2 linked regions of the Oryzias latipes genome follow. The protein of the gene in region 1 purifies or fractionates together with the protein of each later gene. This does not show direct contact. Links are inferred from orthologs where the notes say so. Each region holds a gene or a part of one and is shown in the gene's direction. Other genes may lie near its edges.

Region 1 (8,389 bases):
GCACGCCTGAGCCTCCTCAGAAAATACAGGTGCTGGTGTGCCTTCTTGACCAGGCAGGAGGTGTTGGTGCTCCAGGTGAGGTCGCTGGAGATGTGCACGCCCAGATACCTGAAGCTGGAAACCACTTCCACCCCGTCCCCTCCGATGTGAATGGGGGGAGGGGGGCATCTGTCCTTCCTGAAATCCACGATCATCTCCTTGGTCTTCTTCCCGTTGATGCAGAGCTTGTTGTCTCTGCACCAGCTCTCCAGATGTTCCACCTCCTGCCTGTAGTTGGACTCATCGTTGTTAGAGATGCGTCCAACCACGGCTGTGTCATCCGCAAACTTCACGATCAGACAGCTGGGGTGAATCGCTGTGCAGTCGTGCGTGAGCAGGGTGAACAGGAGGGGGCTCAGCACACAGCCCTGGGGGGAGCCCGTGCTGAGGGTGATCGGGGAGGAGGAGACGTTGCGGATTTTTACAGACTGTGGTCTGTCTGTCAGGAAGTCCAAGACCCAGTTGCACAGAGTGGGGTTCAGTCCTAGTGTGTGTAGTTTCTGGGTGAGGGTCTGCGGGATGATGGTGTTAAAAGCTGATGTGAAGAGCAGTCGAACGTACGCGTTCTTGTTCTTTCATACTTTACTTTCAACTAGTACATAAATCTACTTCACTCATCAAGAAACATAACTTTTACATATTCTCGATTAAAGTATATATATATATATTTATATTATTCTGAATTTTGTTTGAACACAGCTTGGAGACAAAAAACGGAAAGAAATGTTTAGGAACTTGTGAGAAGGAAAATATTTTTTAGTTTCAAAGAATCTAGTTGGATTTACAGTTTTGCAATAAACATTTTCTACTAAACTTGGTAGATCAAATTAACCTTTATTTATATAGCACTTTTACAACAACACATGTCACAAAGTGCTGTGCATAAAATACAATAAAATTTAAAAACAAGATGACAAGACAAAGAGTGCCAACAACCCCCCAAACACACACTCATACGCACACCATGATAAAAAAAATGATGGAATGTAGAGACCTGGCTTCCTCCTGAAGTGGGGAAACGATAAGTTACTATATTTAAAAGCTCAGACTCAAAGAAGTCATAAAATGTTTTCAACAACGATGTGGGGATTGGGTCTAAAAGGCAGGTGGTTGGCTTTAACTGGGAGAAAACCTGACCAAGTGCCACAGCATCAACCAGGACAAAACTTTCCAGTGTTTCCTCTGATAAATGCAATGCTATAGTTTTATTCAAAACGACACCTTTTTGAGTTAAGAGACTAGATCTAATAGCATTGATTTTACTCTTGAAGTGGTCGGCAAAACTCTCACATACAGCATCTGAGGCTGCTGTGGAGGACCTTTAAGAGTCTCTTTTAATTAAACTGTCTATTGTTTTAAAGAGAACTTTAGGATCATTTTTGTTTTGTAAAATCAAGTTTGCTTTTTTTTATTGCATGGTTGTACATCATTTGCGGTTCTTTAAAAATTTTGCGATGTATAGTTAATTTCGTTTTTCTCCACTTCCTCTCCGCACTCCTGCATTCACGTTTCATGGCTCTGATTGATTCGTTCCTCCAGGGTGCTGTAGCTTTAGTTTTCAACGTTTTAGTTTTAAGTGGAACTACGCCATCAATGGCTGTATCCATCATTCCATCCATCCATCCATCCATCCATCATTTCATTCATCTATCCATTCATCCTTCCATCATTCAATCCATCCATCATTCCATCCATCCATTCTTCCATCTATACATCCATCCATCATTCTATCCATCCATCCATCCATCCATCCATCCATCCATCATTCCATCCATCCATCCATCCATCCATCCATCCATCCATCCATCCATCCATTCATCATTCCATGCATCCATCCATCCATCCTTCCATCCATCATTCTATCCATCCATCCATCCATTTATCATTCCATGCATCCATCCAACATTTCATCCATCCATCCATCCATCCATCCATCCAACATTTCATCCATCCATCTATCCATCCATCCATCTATCCATCCATCCATCCATCTATCCATCCATCCATCCATCCATCCATCCATCCATCCATCCATCCATCCATCCATCCATCCATCCATCCATCCATCCATCCATCCATCCATCCATCCATCCATCCATCCATCCATCCATCCATCCATCCATCCATCCATCCATCCATCCATCCATCCATCCATCCATCCATCTATCTATCTATCTATCTATCTATCTATCTATCTATCTATCTATCTATCTATCTATCTATCTATCTATCTATCTATCTATCTATCTATCTATCTATCTATCTATCTATCTATCTATCTATCTATCTATCTATCTATCCATCATTCCGTCCATCCAACCATCCATCCATCATTTCATCCATCCATCCATCCATCCATCATTCCATCTTATTCTGCCCAGGTTGCGGTCAGTCAGCACCAAGGCCTTCCCAGCGCAGCTGAGAGACATCGTTTCTCCACCGTGTCCTGTTCTTCCCTGGGCCCACCGCCCAGTGGGACATGCCCAGAACGCCTCACCAGGGAGGGGCTCTGGAGGCATCCAGACCAGATGGCTGAGCCGCCTCATCTGGCTCTGCTTGATCTAGGGGAGACGTGGATCTACTCCGAGCTCTCTCCAGGTGATCAAGCTTCTCACCCTATCTCTACAAGACCGCCCAGCCACCCGATGGAGGAAGCTCATGTATTCAGGACCTCGTTCCTTCAGTCATCCCCCAGAGCTCATGACCACAGGTGAGTTTTGGAACAAATATTGATCAGTAGATTGAGAAAGTCAGAAAGTGAAGCTCCAATGGTCCACCTCCAGCACATGTCCATGTTTGTTAAATCATGCCAGAGGCTGATCCAGAGGAGCACTAGGAGAACAAAAATGCTGAGTTTTATCCCCAAGAACACCATACTAACTGTGAGGCATGGTGGTGGAAACGTTATGCTTTGGGGCTGGTTTTCTGCGAAGTGGACAAGAAGACTTATTAAGGAAAGATAGATTTGAGTGAAAACCTCCTTCAATCAGTTGCACTGTGAATGAAACGGGGCTGTATCTTTATGGAGTAATATTTATACCACCACACTGCAAAAAAGAGAAGAAAAAGTATCCAAAAAATCCAACACAGAATCTGTGAAGGAAATGCAAAAACCCATATTGCCTAGTAACACATTGGTTTTGGCGACATCTGTCGGTTACCAGAGGAACAGCGCCCTCTGTGACGTATGTTCCTGTGACGCGCAGAAATTTTAAACTCTCGTCCTTCTTAGTAATGGCGGCTTCGTTTCGTTCTCTCCCTGCAAGCAATAATAATAAATGGTACTTCACCAGGCAGGAGATCGACAACAACCCCTCTCGGCGAGCTGGACTAGACCCCGACAAGGAGCTGTCGTACAGGCAACAGGCAGCGAACCTGATCCAGGACATGGGACAGCGGCTCAATGTGTATCTTTTGTCGTGCTGCGTCGCACGTAGCTAGCATTAGCATGCTAGCCAGCAAAGTGTAACCTGCTCGGCCAAGAGCGTGGCCGGTATTTCTTGTGTTGTTCGACGGGTTCTTGTTTATTTGTTAGTATCGTGTGTTGTTGACTAAATGGCGGTTGTTTTCCGTCGCTGTTTCTACGTTAACATCTCCCTGCGGCGTCTCAGGCTAGCCGGGTCCACCAAGGCCTGTAGCTCGACAGGCCTGTCCGGGACGTTAGCTTCACTAGCCGCAAATGACTAGGAAGAAGTTTTCTGAACAGATGAATATATTCTGCTAAAAAATAAACAGCACAGTTATAGTATAAATTGAAATTGAATCAACTTTTTAGGAAAATTGTTTATTTGTAGGCTTGAAAAGCCTCTTCAGAGGCTGTGAGTGAGGGATTGAGGTTATACTACTGTACTGCAACCTGGCTTTCGTTGTTTGTGGTGTGGTGGTAAAAATCATGATGGGCTATTTTTATTATCCTCATCATGGACGCTTCATATGTTCTGGGGGGCCTCACGGTGAAATTTAAAGGAGGCCCTCCAACCAAAGGGTATCCTAAGTTATGGAAAGCTCATAAAACACGTGAATGTTGCTAAAGAATTCCCAGATTTAACTGTATTTCTTAGTTTTTTTGTTTATATGAATGTAACTAAGCTAAACGTTTTATTTTCAAATTAAGAGGCATGCTCAGACTGCGATCCAGAAGAGCTCTGAATAGGACACACAAAGCTCCCAAGAGCTAGTAATCTACTGTAATCTGCACCACCTACTTGTTTATTTCTTTAACCGCCACGACTGGCTAATTAGATGCACACCATTTAAGAAGAAAGGGAGGGGCTTTTATATCCTAAGCATGTTTGAATTCCACACCACTTCCACGGAAAGTGGCTTGGGAGAATCTGTCAAAGGTTGGAGATGGGGGGCCAGTGGGCACCAAATCATTTTACCGAGACATTTGATTGGTCAGTTTATAAATTGTGATTAAGAAAAAAAGACCAGGAAATAAATTTGCAAGAACCTGTAAAAAAATATATATAGCAGAGCAAGAACTGTTATTCTGAGTGACAAGCAGTGTGACTGAGTAATAGCCATCTATTTCTCTATAAAAGTCTATGGGAATTTTGGCTTCTTGGAGCCAGGGGGTACTTCCTGTTTGGAACATAAGGGAGGAGGGGTCAGTATGTCTAGTTTGTATTTACAGTTAATGTCTGCAACGTGTGCTATGCAGCCTATTCCAATTAAAAAAAGTCCGTGTAAATCTCGGACTTGGTAGTTGGGTATGGATGGCGTCACTTTTGATTCACGGTTGTACCGTCCATTTGATGATTTTAAAAGAGAAATTATCAGAGTTTGTGCCCAGCCAGAATTCTATGAACCAAGTCTTTCATGTCGGAATAGAGCTGTGAAAGAAAAAGCCTGGAGCAAGTTTTGTGAGGTTTTCCCCACTTGGACATTTCGCACCAAACTTCTAGTAGGTGGCAGACATGTGCTAACAAATGGTAATAAAGAGAGAGAAGAAGCCCCTCCCTACTTGGGCAGTGCGAAGACCATATGCTGCGATTACACTCAAGAATGTCCATCGCGTGTCCGGTGTGTCCGCAGCTTTAAGGATACACGTTCTGTCTGTGTCACTTTAGCAAAATTCTCTCCGGTGGCGTTTTAGGATTGCACAGTTTTTCCAATGGTCCTTAACTGGCGTGACAGCTCCCAACTTACCATTAACACAGCCATCGTGTACATGCATCGCTTCTACATGATCCAGTCCTTCACCCGATTTCACCGAAATGTAAGTGTTTTCATGTCCAAAACCATTTTGTTTTAAAGATTTATTTACCGGTGGAAATAAAAGTCACAACTTATCACCTCCTCCTCAGGTGATTTCTCCTGCCGCACTTTTCCTCGCTGCAAAGGTTGAAGAGCAGCCCAGGAAGCTGGAACATGTCATTAAAGTGGCCCATGCGTGTCTCAATCCTCAGGAGCCGTCGCCCGATGTGCGCAGCGATGTAAGTGTCTCACGGCGGTGAGATGAGTACTCGTCTGTCCTGCATTTCAAAAAAAACTGCAAAAGCGCTGCTTGGCTTGTAAATCTGAACTGCTCTCCTGTGTACTGCATTTCATTGAGCTGTCTTCTCAGTTCTTGTGTCTTAATTGTGTGCATCACTTAATCCCAGTTTTTCTTTTCTAGAAAGAACAATGTTTGCCATGGTTCTGTGATAAGAGGAGGGGCGGGGGGAGTTTCTTAACTCTTTGGTTTCTTTTTCATGTTAACTTTAAACAACCACTTGACCGACTTGTTGACGTTTTTTTTTTTTGAGACGCTGCTCCCTATGGGTTGAGAGAGCAAGGGTCAAAATGCGTCTGATTGTGTAGGTTTCAGTCACCCAGGTGATGTGATGTCTATCGGTTGTAAAACAGGAGTGTCTGCGCTCGCTTTGTGGACTTTTACATGAATGGACGAACATTTCTAGGACCACAGAGTGAGCTGCTCAGACACTCTTGTTTGACAACAGTTTGCAGGCGTCTGGGAGAGTAACATGCCTGTCCTCTCAACCTCAGGCTTACCTGACACAAGCCCAAGACCTGGTCATTCTTGAGAGCATAATACTCCAGACCTTGGGTAAGTTTGGGAGGCAAACCTGGGACCCTTCCTTTCCCTCCAGAGAATCATCCTGACCGAGATGACCTCTGCAGCTTTCTGTTTCCAGAAACTCCAAATGTGGTTATCAGCACTGGAAAACACATACTCAACTCATGTTAGAAGCATTTCCACCACTGTTCAGTCGCATTTCTTTCATTCTCTTTATCGTTTACCATTTCAGTCCTTTATTTTCGTCCTTTTTTTCTATATAAATTTAAGAATGCTTTTTCACAACTTCGTGGAGCAGAACATGTTTGAGGAACTGAAAATGATGGGCCATTTTTTAATTTTCCTTCTACTTTTTTGTGTGGATTAGGTTTTAATATTTTGATTTTGCCCAAGGTTTGATCCCATGAGAAGAGTTCTCATAAAACGTTGATCTCCACTTGGCGTTTTGTTTGAATAATTACACATTTTTTGTTTTTTTTCTTAGGGTCTTTGGTAACGTTACCTATCCAGTGGAAGCCAAATGGTTCAAATAAACCTGAACGTTTTAATTTGGCAACCAGTGAGCTGATGTCTTTCTCTTTTCTTGTCCCCCTTTTTGTGGCAGCTTTTGAAATCACCATTGATCATCCTCACACTCATGTTGTCAAGTGCACTCAGCTCGTCAGAGGTGAGCACCTTGTCCACAATATGCGTATATAAAGAAAAAAAATGCCGTCTATTTGGCACTATTCAACAACTTGTACCTCCAATTGTTAATTTGCAGACTTTAAGGTCTTTTTTTGTTTCTTTGTTTTGGTTTTATTGCAGCCAGCAAGGATCTGGCCCAAACATCCTACTTTATGGCAACTAACAGGTATGCCCTCCTTTCACATCGGCTTTACGGTGGGAATTTTGATGTGGAAATGGGCTGATTTGTTTCCTCTCTCTCTCTCTTTTCGTGCGTCCTGCCACCCAGTCTGCATTTGACCACCTTCTGCCTGCAGTATTGCCCCCCCGTCGTGGCCTGCGTGTGCATACATCTTGCATGCAAGTGGTCCAACTGGGAGATCCCCGTCTCCACTGATGGCAAACACTGGTGGGAATACGTTGATCCCACGGTTACTTTGGAGCTTTTGGACGGTACTTCACAAATCCTGTTGTTTTTTTTTTTAACTATTCTTTTTTGTAAATGCAAAAATGGTGTAAAGAACTGCAAATCCGTCTTTGGAGAGTTTGTGACTGTAGCCTGTAACTCTTTTGCAGAACTCACGCATGAGTTTCTGCAAATCTTGGAGAAAACTCCTAGTCGGCTTAAACGGATTCGGAACTGGAAGGTACGACTTTGTTTCTGCCTGTAAGCTAGCGGAGCCCACAGTTTCTTGGTCTCCACCTGCTCGGGCTTTCTTCAGGGTGGTGGGCGAGCAACGGCAGAGTGCACACAGCAGCCCAGCCGGGTGCCCGGTTCATGGGTGGGGCTCGAGAAGCACATGCTTCTGGACGGCACTGCTGCCTGAGTGGGTTTCAAATGCTCCTGCAATCTGGAGTGGCATTCACCCTAGGAACCGGCGCGTGGCTGTGCCAGCAGAGCCTATGCAATGGCAGGCAGAGGGGGCTGGTCGATCACACATCTGGCACTCTGTGTGGTTAAACATGCACATACGTGCACTGACGTATGGATCCGATTGGGCTCCCCTGCTGAAAGCCAAGCGCTCTCTTTTTGTGTGAATGGAACTTCTGACCTAATAATGTTTCTTGTTTCTCAGGCTGGAGGCCAGACCCCAAAGGTCAAGCCCAAGGTCCAGGAGGAAGGTGAACAGAGAGACGCCATGATCAGCATGATCTCCATGGTCTCATCAGAAAGTACTGTGGCAGGACTCATGAGCCTCTCCGCTCCATCGGGCTCCTCTTCCTCATCTGCGGGCGACAAGGTCACACCTGGGAGCGCTCAGACGTGGAGCGGGAAAGGTGCGTCTGCAACTGAACTACCGCCCAACCACGAGGTCCACGCTCCTGCCAAAGTGTCACTGAGTGAGTACCGGGCCAAGAACGCAGATGTACTAGCCGCCCAGAAGCGGAAGCTTGAGAACATGGAGGACAGCGTCAAGAGAGAATATGCCAATGCAGCGAAGGCTCTCATCGGCCAACAGCAGAGGAAAGAGAAGCAGCAGCATCACCACCAGCAGTCCAGCTTTTCTTCTGACATGTCTAACCCCTCGCCCATTATTTTGAAAATCCCCCTGGAAAAAGAGAGACACGACCGCTCTTTAAAAGTGCGTTATCCAGTACCTGGGTCAGGAGGGGGCAGCGGTGGCGGACACGGCAGCGGCAGCAGTGCGCAAAGTGGCAGTG
Region 2 (7,091 bases), on another chromosome or scaffold:
TATATAAACTGCAAGAACGTCATTTTAAAAACCACTGGGAAAGCCTCAAAAATAGATCAGAGTACGATGGGAGTGGGACTTTAAAGACACTTTTGTCTTCAAATGATGCAATTTGTCAAAAAATGTTCCTAATTGTACATCTCAGCTTTGATGGGTTCTTGTTTTTTTAGACTTCTGTTTTACTCCCAAAGCCAAGATCTTCTATTAGCTCCAAAAATTGTACTACCTTGTACATCTCTGGATGATTAATAAAGTTTTCCTGCTTCTCATTTTATGACTTCAATGCTTCCAATGGTTTGATGCATTGTAGGTGAAGAAGAGGAGAAAAAAAAGCGTAAAAAGAAGAAGAAGAAAGACGCTTCAACAGCTGAGACGCCTGCAGGAGAAGTCAAGGAGATGGAGACCGAAGCCTTTCAGCCGAAGAAGAAACACTCGGCAGCGAAGGACTCGGAGAAAAGAGCTGCAAACCCGGAGAGGGAACAGAGCAAAGTGTCAGAGAAAAAGCGACGGCGCTCTCAGACGGCGGAGGGCGCTGAGAGTGAAGTGCCGTCTAAGATTAGAAAGAGGAGCTGCAGTGAATCTGGGGAGAAAGAGAAAGAAAAGAGTGGTGAGCGCAGACTTCCCCTACTTTTAGATTCTCTTTTCTTTTAGACTCATCTCCATGTGTCCCGAGTTGGCTAACAGACGTGGGTGCAGAGCTGCTGTCCAACCAGCTGACTGCTGAGCTCATGGTGTGATTCCCCCTCCTTCCCCGTAGATTCAGCCACCGAAGGCGACGGCGAGAAGGGAAATGAGAACGGCGACGACTCGGCCGTGAAGGCGAAGAGGAAGCGGAAAAAGAAACACAAAGAAAAATTGAAAATTGGAGAAGAAGTCATTCCACTTCGAGTTTTATCAAAGTTAGCAGCAACTTTTTGATGATTTGCTATAAAATGCCTTAAATTCCAGTTGAATCCTTTTTATTTACTCCCCTTTTTTTTTTTTTTTTTCCAGGAAAGAGTGGCTCCAGCTGAAGCAGCAATATTTAGCTCTGCAGAAAAGCAGCATGTCGTCCTTGAAGAAGTGCTTCAACAAGATTGAAAGCAAAGAGCAGGGAAGCGCTGAAGACAGGAGCGGTGGGTTTGCTCAAACACTTCCACGTTGACGACACATGATTAGTAAATGACGTCTCATGAGTTCAGTTTTGGGACTCAGGGAGGGGGTTTTCCGACAGGCTCTGTTGTCATTTCTCTCTTGATTTTTGTCTAAAACTTGCCTTGTTTACCTTGCGGTCTGACCTTCAAAGCCCCACTCTAGTGGTAGTTGTGGTTTTAACATGTTCTTTTGGCTTTTTTCTGATGTTGGAGGACATGCATAAAAACAATTAAGCTTAAATTTGCACTTCTGAGTAGTTCTTTATTTAAATTATTTGGAATCCGGAGCAGACGAAAAAATGAAGTTGGAAAAACATCATGTTGGTGACGTAGAAAATACTCTGGGTGGGCCACAAGCTCCCTGCTCTGCTCCATTCTGATGCATCCACTTGCAGATCCGTGTACGTCTTTGTTTCCCTTGTCTGAGCTGGCATCTAGTTTAAAACTGAGGCTCCAACGTTGCTCGCCACTTTTGTTGCATCACTAATGTTAGGTTGGAAAGCTAGCTCTCAGTCATGGATTGGCGGGCAGAGGGGGTGAGGCTGCATCGTGCCCACAGCCCCGCCCACAACTCAGAATTGAATTTCTAATGAACTACTGTTGCTCTGCAGAAACGATGTAAACTATGCTCATGTTCCTCGCAACTGATATACATAATGAAATGCAACATTATTTTGTTAACTTGCAGTTGAAAGCAAAAAAGAAAACAACCAGAGTCCTCAGTTTGTCAGTGGCGTCATCGTGAAGATCACAGACAGCAAACCTCTACCAGCAAGGAAGATCGTCAAGGTGCTGGATCCTTTCTGGCTTCTCTTTTTATGATTTGAAGCTGCAGTTTGTCATAGAAAATGCAGGATTTCTTGTCCGTGGGAGCAATGTTGTGGTTCAGGTTGTATAAGGTGTCACTGCTGTGTGCAGGAGATCCTGTGTGAAGTGTCTCAAGTGGCTTACGTCGACATCCTGGATGGAGATTCAGAGGGTTATGTGCGCTTTTTGACACCAGAGGGCGCCAAAGGTGTCTGCCAGGCCAAAGCACAGCTGCAGAAGGAGCACAGCTGGAAGGTTGAGATTCTAACAGGTGTGACATGGTTCCTCCAGTCCGTGTTTGAACGTCATCTTTTCCCATTGAGCTCAGGTTTGCTCTCTGACTTTTCCTAAAGGAGACCAAGAGCAGCGGTATTGGCATAAGATCCTCGTGGACCGCCAGGTGAAGCTGAATCGCCCCCGAGAAAAAAAGAGAGGCAAAGAGAAGGTGAAGTTCAGTCGCACGTCCTTGTGGTGCATCTCGGTTCTCAAACTAACACTTGCCAGTTGTCAATTGAAGTATTTGTTTCCTGTTTGGTAAGTAACAGTCAAAGGGCTGCTCGCCAGACAAAAAAAAAATACAAACTCTAACTTTGATTATTTCCGTTTTGTTTATTTTCTGATACTAAAGGAAGTTTTATTTTGGAAAACTACCAGATTCTGTTCACCACATCCGTCTGTCTTGACGCGTCACGTGACTTTAAGCAGCTGCTCGTTCGCTAAGTTAGTAGTTCAACACTTAAAAGCTAACAAAAACCAAACAATTCAACGTATTTGGAAAGTTTCTTTGGGGAGAAGAGTCAGTGAAGAAACTAAAGAAGAGTCTTTGGCTGCAAAGAAAATAAAGCTGCTATTTACAGACAGAACTAGAAGTTTTCCTCCAAATACGGATTTATTGAGACAATTGTTTTCACGTACCAGAAGCTGCTCGCTTTGCCTAATCAGGAATCAGGAAATCTTTATTGTCATTTTATCACATGATAAAACGAAATTAGGCTCTCTGGTCCCGGGCCAGCCGTTTACATTCAGACATAAATAAATAATATAATATCAATGTGATATCAATATGTTACGGTGTGGTTCCTGGTGAGTATTGCACAAAAAGTATGTTTCAATATGCAGCGACTGACACATATGCAGGTAATGAAGATGTAGACACGGTGGATTCATGTTTATTATCATGTTTATAAAATACCACTTTATAGACAGTTGTGTCATTATTTTTGCTTTCTTTATCCATCATTAAACGTTGAAGCTGAAGTTAGCATCCAGTTGTTGGCATCCACGTTGACGTTAAAGGGAAAATCTTCATCACAAAGTTTAAGTTTAACCAGCTGAAAACATTTTACGGAGAATGAAGATTCAATTCAGTTACTGATTAGTGGAAACTTATAAAAAGGAGATTTAGGAATTTTCCTACAGCAAGGCTGAATTATGCAGACATCTGTTAAGAAACTTGATCAAAGAAAATGTTCCTAAAAAAACACAATGAATCAGAATTTATGAAAAAACAAAATATGATCAATCTTTTTGTCCTGAAAGATGATCTGATACTGGCTTTAGTTCTCAGTGTTATAATGGTGTTCAATAAATTAACAATAAAAAATGCTTGTTTTAATTGCATTATTTACAAAACTGAAACAACTTCTACAAAACAACTTTGTTTCATTGAATTTTGGTTTTCTGTGAAAAAAATCTACCAATGTTACTAAAGTTCTTGTTATCTTTTGTTTTAATTATGTAGTGAAAACACCAGAGGGTTTTCTGGGTAAAAAAGTGTCATCATTTGCTTTAGATTTCCACATTGGTCGATCAAAAACGAAATTTCTGCCACTGGCTGGATCATTAAAGCAGACATGATTATTGAACAGAAACTCTTTTGCAGAAGCTTTTAAGGAACTCATCCAATCTTGTCTCATCTCCCCTCAGCTCATATCTAAAGCTGAAAAAATCATCATGGCAAGAGCCAAGGAGGCGAACAAGCACATCCGCTTTGAGGAGGACTGAGCTGCACACGTTCAACTGATGTTTCCTGTCTTGAAGGAGGACTTGAATGGTTTTAAGTAGTTTCTGTCCTTTTGGGGTTTTTTTTTGTTGTTTTTTTGGCACTAGAGTTCCAAAAATGCCACGTACTGCTGATAAAGACAGAGCTTTCTTTACCAGGTTCTTGTGTGTTTAAAGCAATCCTGTATAGATACTACATAAATGAACTCCAAATGAAAATCTTATTGTTTTTTTACTAATAAAGAAAACAGAAATTTCACGATCACAATGTTTGTTTTAAATTCAGACACTCCTGTGCTTGTTAAAGACTCACTTCCATTAATTTTTGATCCATTTTCAGAGCCTTCCCAGTGGTCTTTTCACTATGATCTGCTGTTTTTAGCCGAAATCAAAAGCCTGTTGTCTGGTGGGACATAGTTTCTGCAGAGCGGCAGTAGTTACCTCAGAGTTGTGGGCGGGACTGGTGGTTCAGAGCAACCCGACCCATAGCTGAGAGTCAATAGGGAGTCATCCTCACTAATACACTCTCTAATCTGCATTTTTTCCGTCTGGTCCTGATTCACAGCGGTTTGAATACAGACATACTCAGACTTTTCTAAATACATGTCTTCCATCGTCAAAAGGAACATGTTAAAAACATAATTATCATCGGAGTGGCTCTTTAAGATGGCTGTTTCATCAACATAGACGCTTACACATATCATGTCGGTTTGTTTTAATCTTTTAAGAAGACTTGTTAGTCTTGATGGAGGCTGATGAAGTAATTCAAGACAGAGTCCTGAGGAGGCTGGTTGTTGCAGCTTTGGTTTGGTTTGGAGACGTCCTCGTTTGTCTGGATAGCAGATTCCCAGCCGTCCTTTTGCGGTGGCTGGATCGCCATCGTGCCTCTCTCTCTGGGCTTCACAGACAGCCCGGTCCACTCGATGCCTTTATCCTCGCTGGCTTCACACTCTGCCTTTGGCGACTGGTGCTTGTGCTCTGCTGCTGGATTAGCCTCCTTGAACTGAGAGTAGAGCTTCAAAACCTTCAGAGAGTCCCTGACGTCAGCCGGAGGGAGATGACCTCCACTGGTCCAGGCCATCCTCCAGCTTTTCTGCGCCTCATCTACAGTGGCGGAAAAATCCAGCCTGCCGCTGGTGACCCTTTCAGAGTGTCCGTCGTCCTTTGGGAGCCGGTCGTCTTTCTGTTGGCACTTCCTGCTCTCTTTGCCAGAATCCCTCACAGGAACCAGTCCATGGGAAGCTACTAAGTTGTCCTCAAGCTTGCATGGGTGACGTTTCTTGGCTTTCCAAGCTTTAAAATCCTCTGGAAAAAATGAACACATTTATTGCAAAAAGTCAGATTTAAAAACCGTTGATGTTTATGAGAAAAAATTGCAATTTTCTTGCCTGTGTAAGTGGTTGTGTGGACGGCCTTGTTGTCCTTTTCCCCCTGAGGTGCAGAGTGTCGTTTAGGTGTTGCTGGTGGCAGCGCAGCCTTTTGGATTGATGCGTCTCTTTTCTTGTCTTTTCTGAAACAGACAAGAACATAACACGTAACCCAGACACGAGTGGGAGGGGGGGAAAAAAAAAAGTCAAAACTGAAGAATAAAATAAATGGAAAAGTAAAAGGAAAGTTACTTGTGTGAGGCGTATTTTTCGAGGCTTGGTGAGAGGAAGCGGGTCTCATACTCCATCAGGAACATAGATCTGGGAAAAGACATGACATCACAGTCCTAATGAGATGTTTTTGGTGAAAACTTTCAACGTTATCAACAACAACAACCAAAAAAATAAGGATATTGTTGGGTTGCATGTATAATCAAATAAAAACTGCAAGAATATCCCTCATGCAGCACCTTTGCCTGCAGAAGAAGCCATTTTTGGGGCCACTTCTGCTTCTCACTGAGAGGTTTTCTTGTCTTACAAGCCAAAGCAGTCATTAAAATGCAGCATAAAAGGCGTAAGGATGTGAAACCATATGGATTCAGTGCATGAATGGATAGAAAACATAAATTTCAAGTCCCAGTCCAATTATCTTTTGATATATTTTAAAAGCAATCCCAGTGATCTTTTCATTATAATTGCTTTTTGCAGTTTTGCCGGTTATTCCTGAAGGTTGTACATGTTATCCATGTGTATACATTTTTTTTTCGTTTATACTTTTTTTTTTCTTCAAATTTCATATTGTAATTTTTAGTATTGTATCGTTTTTCTTTTAAATTCTCTTGTATTTTTTCATCTTTACATAGCTTGGTTGGTAATTTTTTGTATCCAGTCTTCATCTGTCCTTCAATTGTATTTTAAAAACCCACATCTGCCTACATACATGTCATAACTCCGGATGGAGCCCGTATTGCATTCTGGGATATCCTTAAGGTAACTTCCGATAAACGTTTGCAGCTAGCTTGCAAGTATGTTAAAAAAAAAAAAAGCTTGCAAGTATATTTTCAAACGCTTCATGAACAACACTGACTCAAAAACTCAACTTTTATAGGTAAAAATGAAATCTTTGGCAGTTTTGTTTTTAACCGGAACATTATGCCATGGCAACGGAATATTATACCATGGCAATGTTTTAAAACGACAGTTTTAAAAATAAAGTTTTATTTGAAACTGTTTGGTTTCTAAAACTCTGAACATGCACAGAAAAATACTTTAAAATGTTGACAAAAATGGAGAACAAATTATGTTATCTTTTTTGAAAACCGATCTTTATTCATATTAAAATTTAATAAAAAGTGAATTACTAATTCGAACAACGGTTTTATTTAGTACTTTAGTGGTGATAGTTTTTTATTATAAAAAAAAACAAAACTAGATCAAAACATGAGTTTTTAGTTGAGTAGAAGCATAATAGAGTTAATAAAAGCCAAGAGAGAAAAAACGCAACTCTTTTAGCTAACGTGGTCTTTTTTTTTTCCTTTTTCTTTTTTTTTTTACCGCCTTTTTTGTTCATAACAGGAAAACTATCTATTTCAGCTCACCTTCTCCTCGTGAATTCCCTGTTTGCTGGTGGGTTCATGTCTTCTGTTTGTGGTTTCTCTGCCATGAACAAACCGAAAAAAATGAAAGAAGAAAAAAAAAAAACGTTTCTACCGTTCTAAAAATAAACAACGCCGGGTGATGCACGTGGATGCGGACCGTTGCCAAGGCGTTTGAGATCCACTTC

What was found. Proteins that work in one complex are often made in the same cells at the same time.
Region 2: the proteins of ccnt1 (region 1) and larp7 purify together in Homo sapiens (affinity purification with mass spectrometry; 10 studies listed by BioGRID and IntAct, with this or other methods). This does not show direct contact. The link is inferred for Oryzias latipes from reciprocal best matches to the Homo sapiens genes CCNT1 and LARP7.

What each region holds. Positions count from the first base shown.
Region 1 is NC_019865.2:25,914,107-25,922,495, forward strand, and holds the start of ccnt1 (cyclin-T1), read left to right. Parts: upstream 1-3,239; 5' UTR 3,240-3,273; coding exon 3,274-3,446; intron 3,447-5,178; coding exon 5,179-5,260; intron 5,261-5,348; coding exon 5,349-5,477; intron 5,478-6,030; coding exon 6,031-6,091; intron 6,092-6,665; coding exon 6,666-6,728; intron 6,729-6,856; coding exon 6,857-6,914; intron 6,915-7,016; coding exon 7,017-7,180; intron 7,181-7,303; coding exon 7,304-7,374; intron 7,375-7,803; coding exon 7,804-8,389. UniProt on the Homo sapiens protein: Regulatory subunit of the cyclin-dependent kinase pair (CDK9/cyclin-T1) complex, also called positive transcription elongation factor B (P-TEFb), which facilitates the transition from abortive to productive elongation by phosphorylating the CTD (C-terminal domain) of the large subunit of RNA polymerase II (RNA Pol II).
Region 2 is NC_019876.2:11,520,380-11,527,470, reverse strand, and holds the end of larp7 (la-related protein 7), read left to right. Parts: intron 1-310; coding exon 311-607; intron 608-757; coding exon 758-899; intron 900-993; coding exon 994-1,115; intron 1,116-1,821; coding exon 1,822-1,922; intron 1,923-2,051; coding exon 2,052-2,211; intron 2,212-2,293; coding exon 2,294-2,385; intron 2,386-3,866; coding exon 3,867-3,944; 3' UTR 3,945-4,206; downstream 4,207-7,091. Other genes in the region: uncharacterized protein LOC101168076, read right to left, coding at 4,678-5,246, 5,330-5,451, 5,561-5,629, 6,907-6,971. UniProt on the Homo sapiens protein: RNA-binding protein that specifically binds distinct small nuclear RNA (snRNAs) and regulates their processing and function.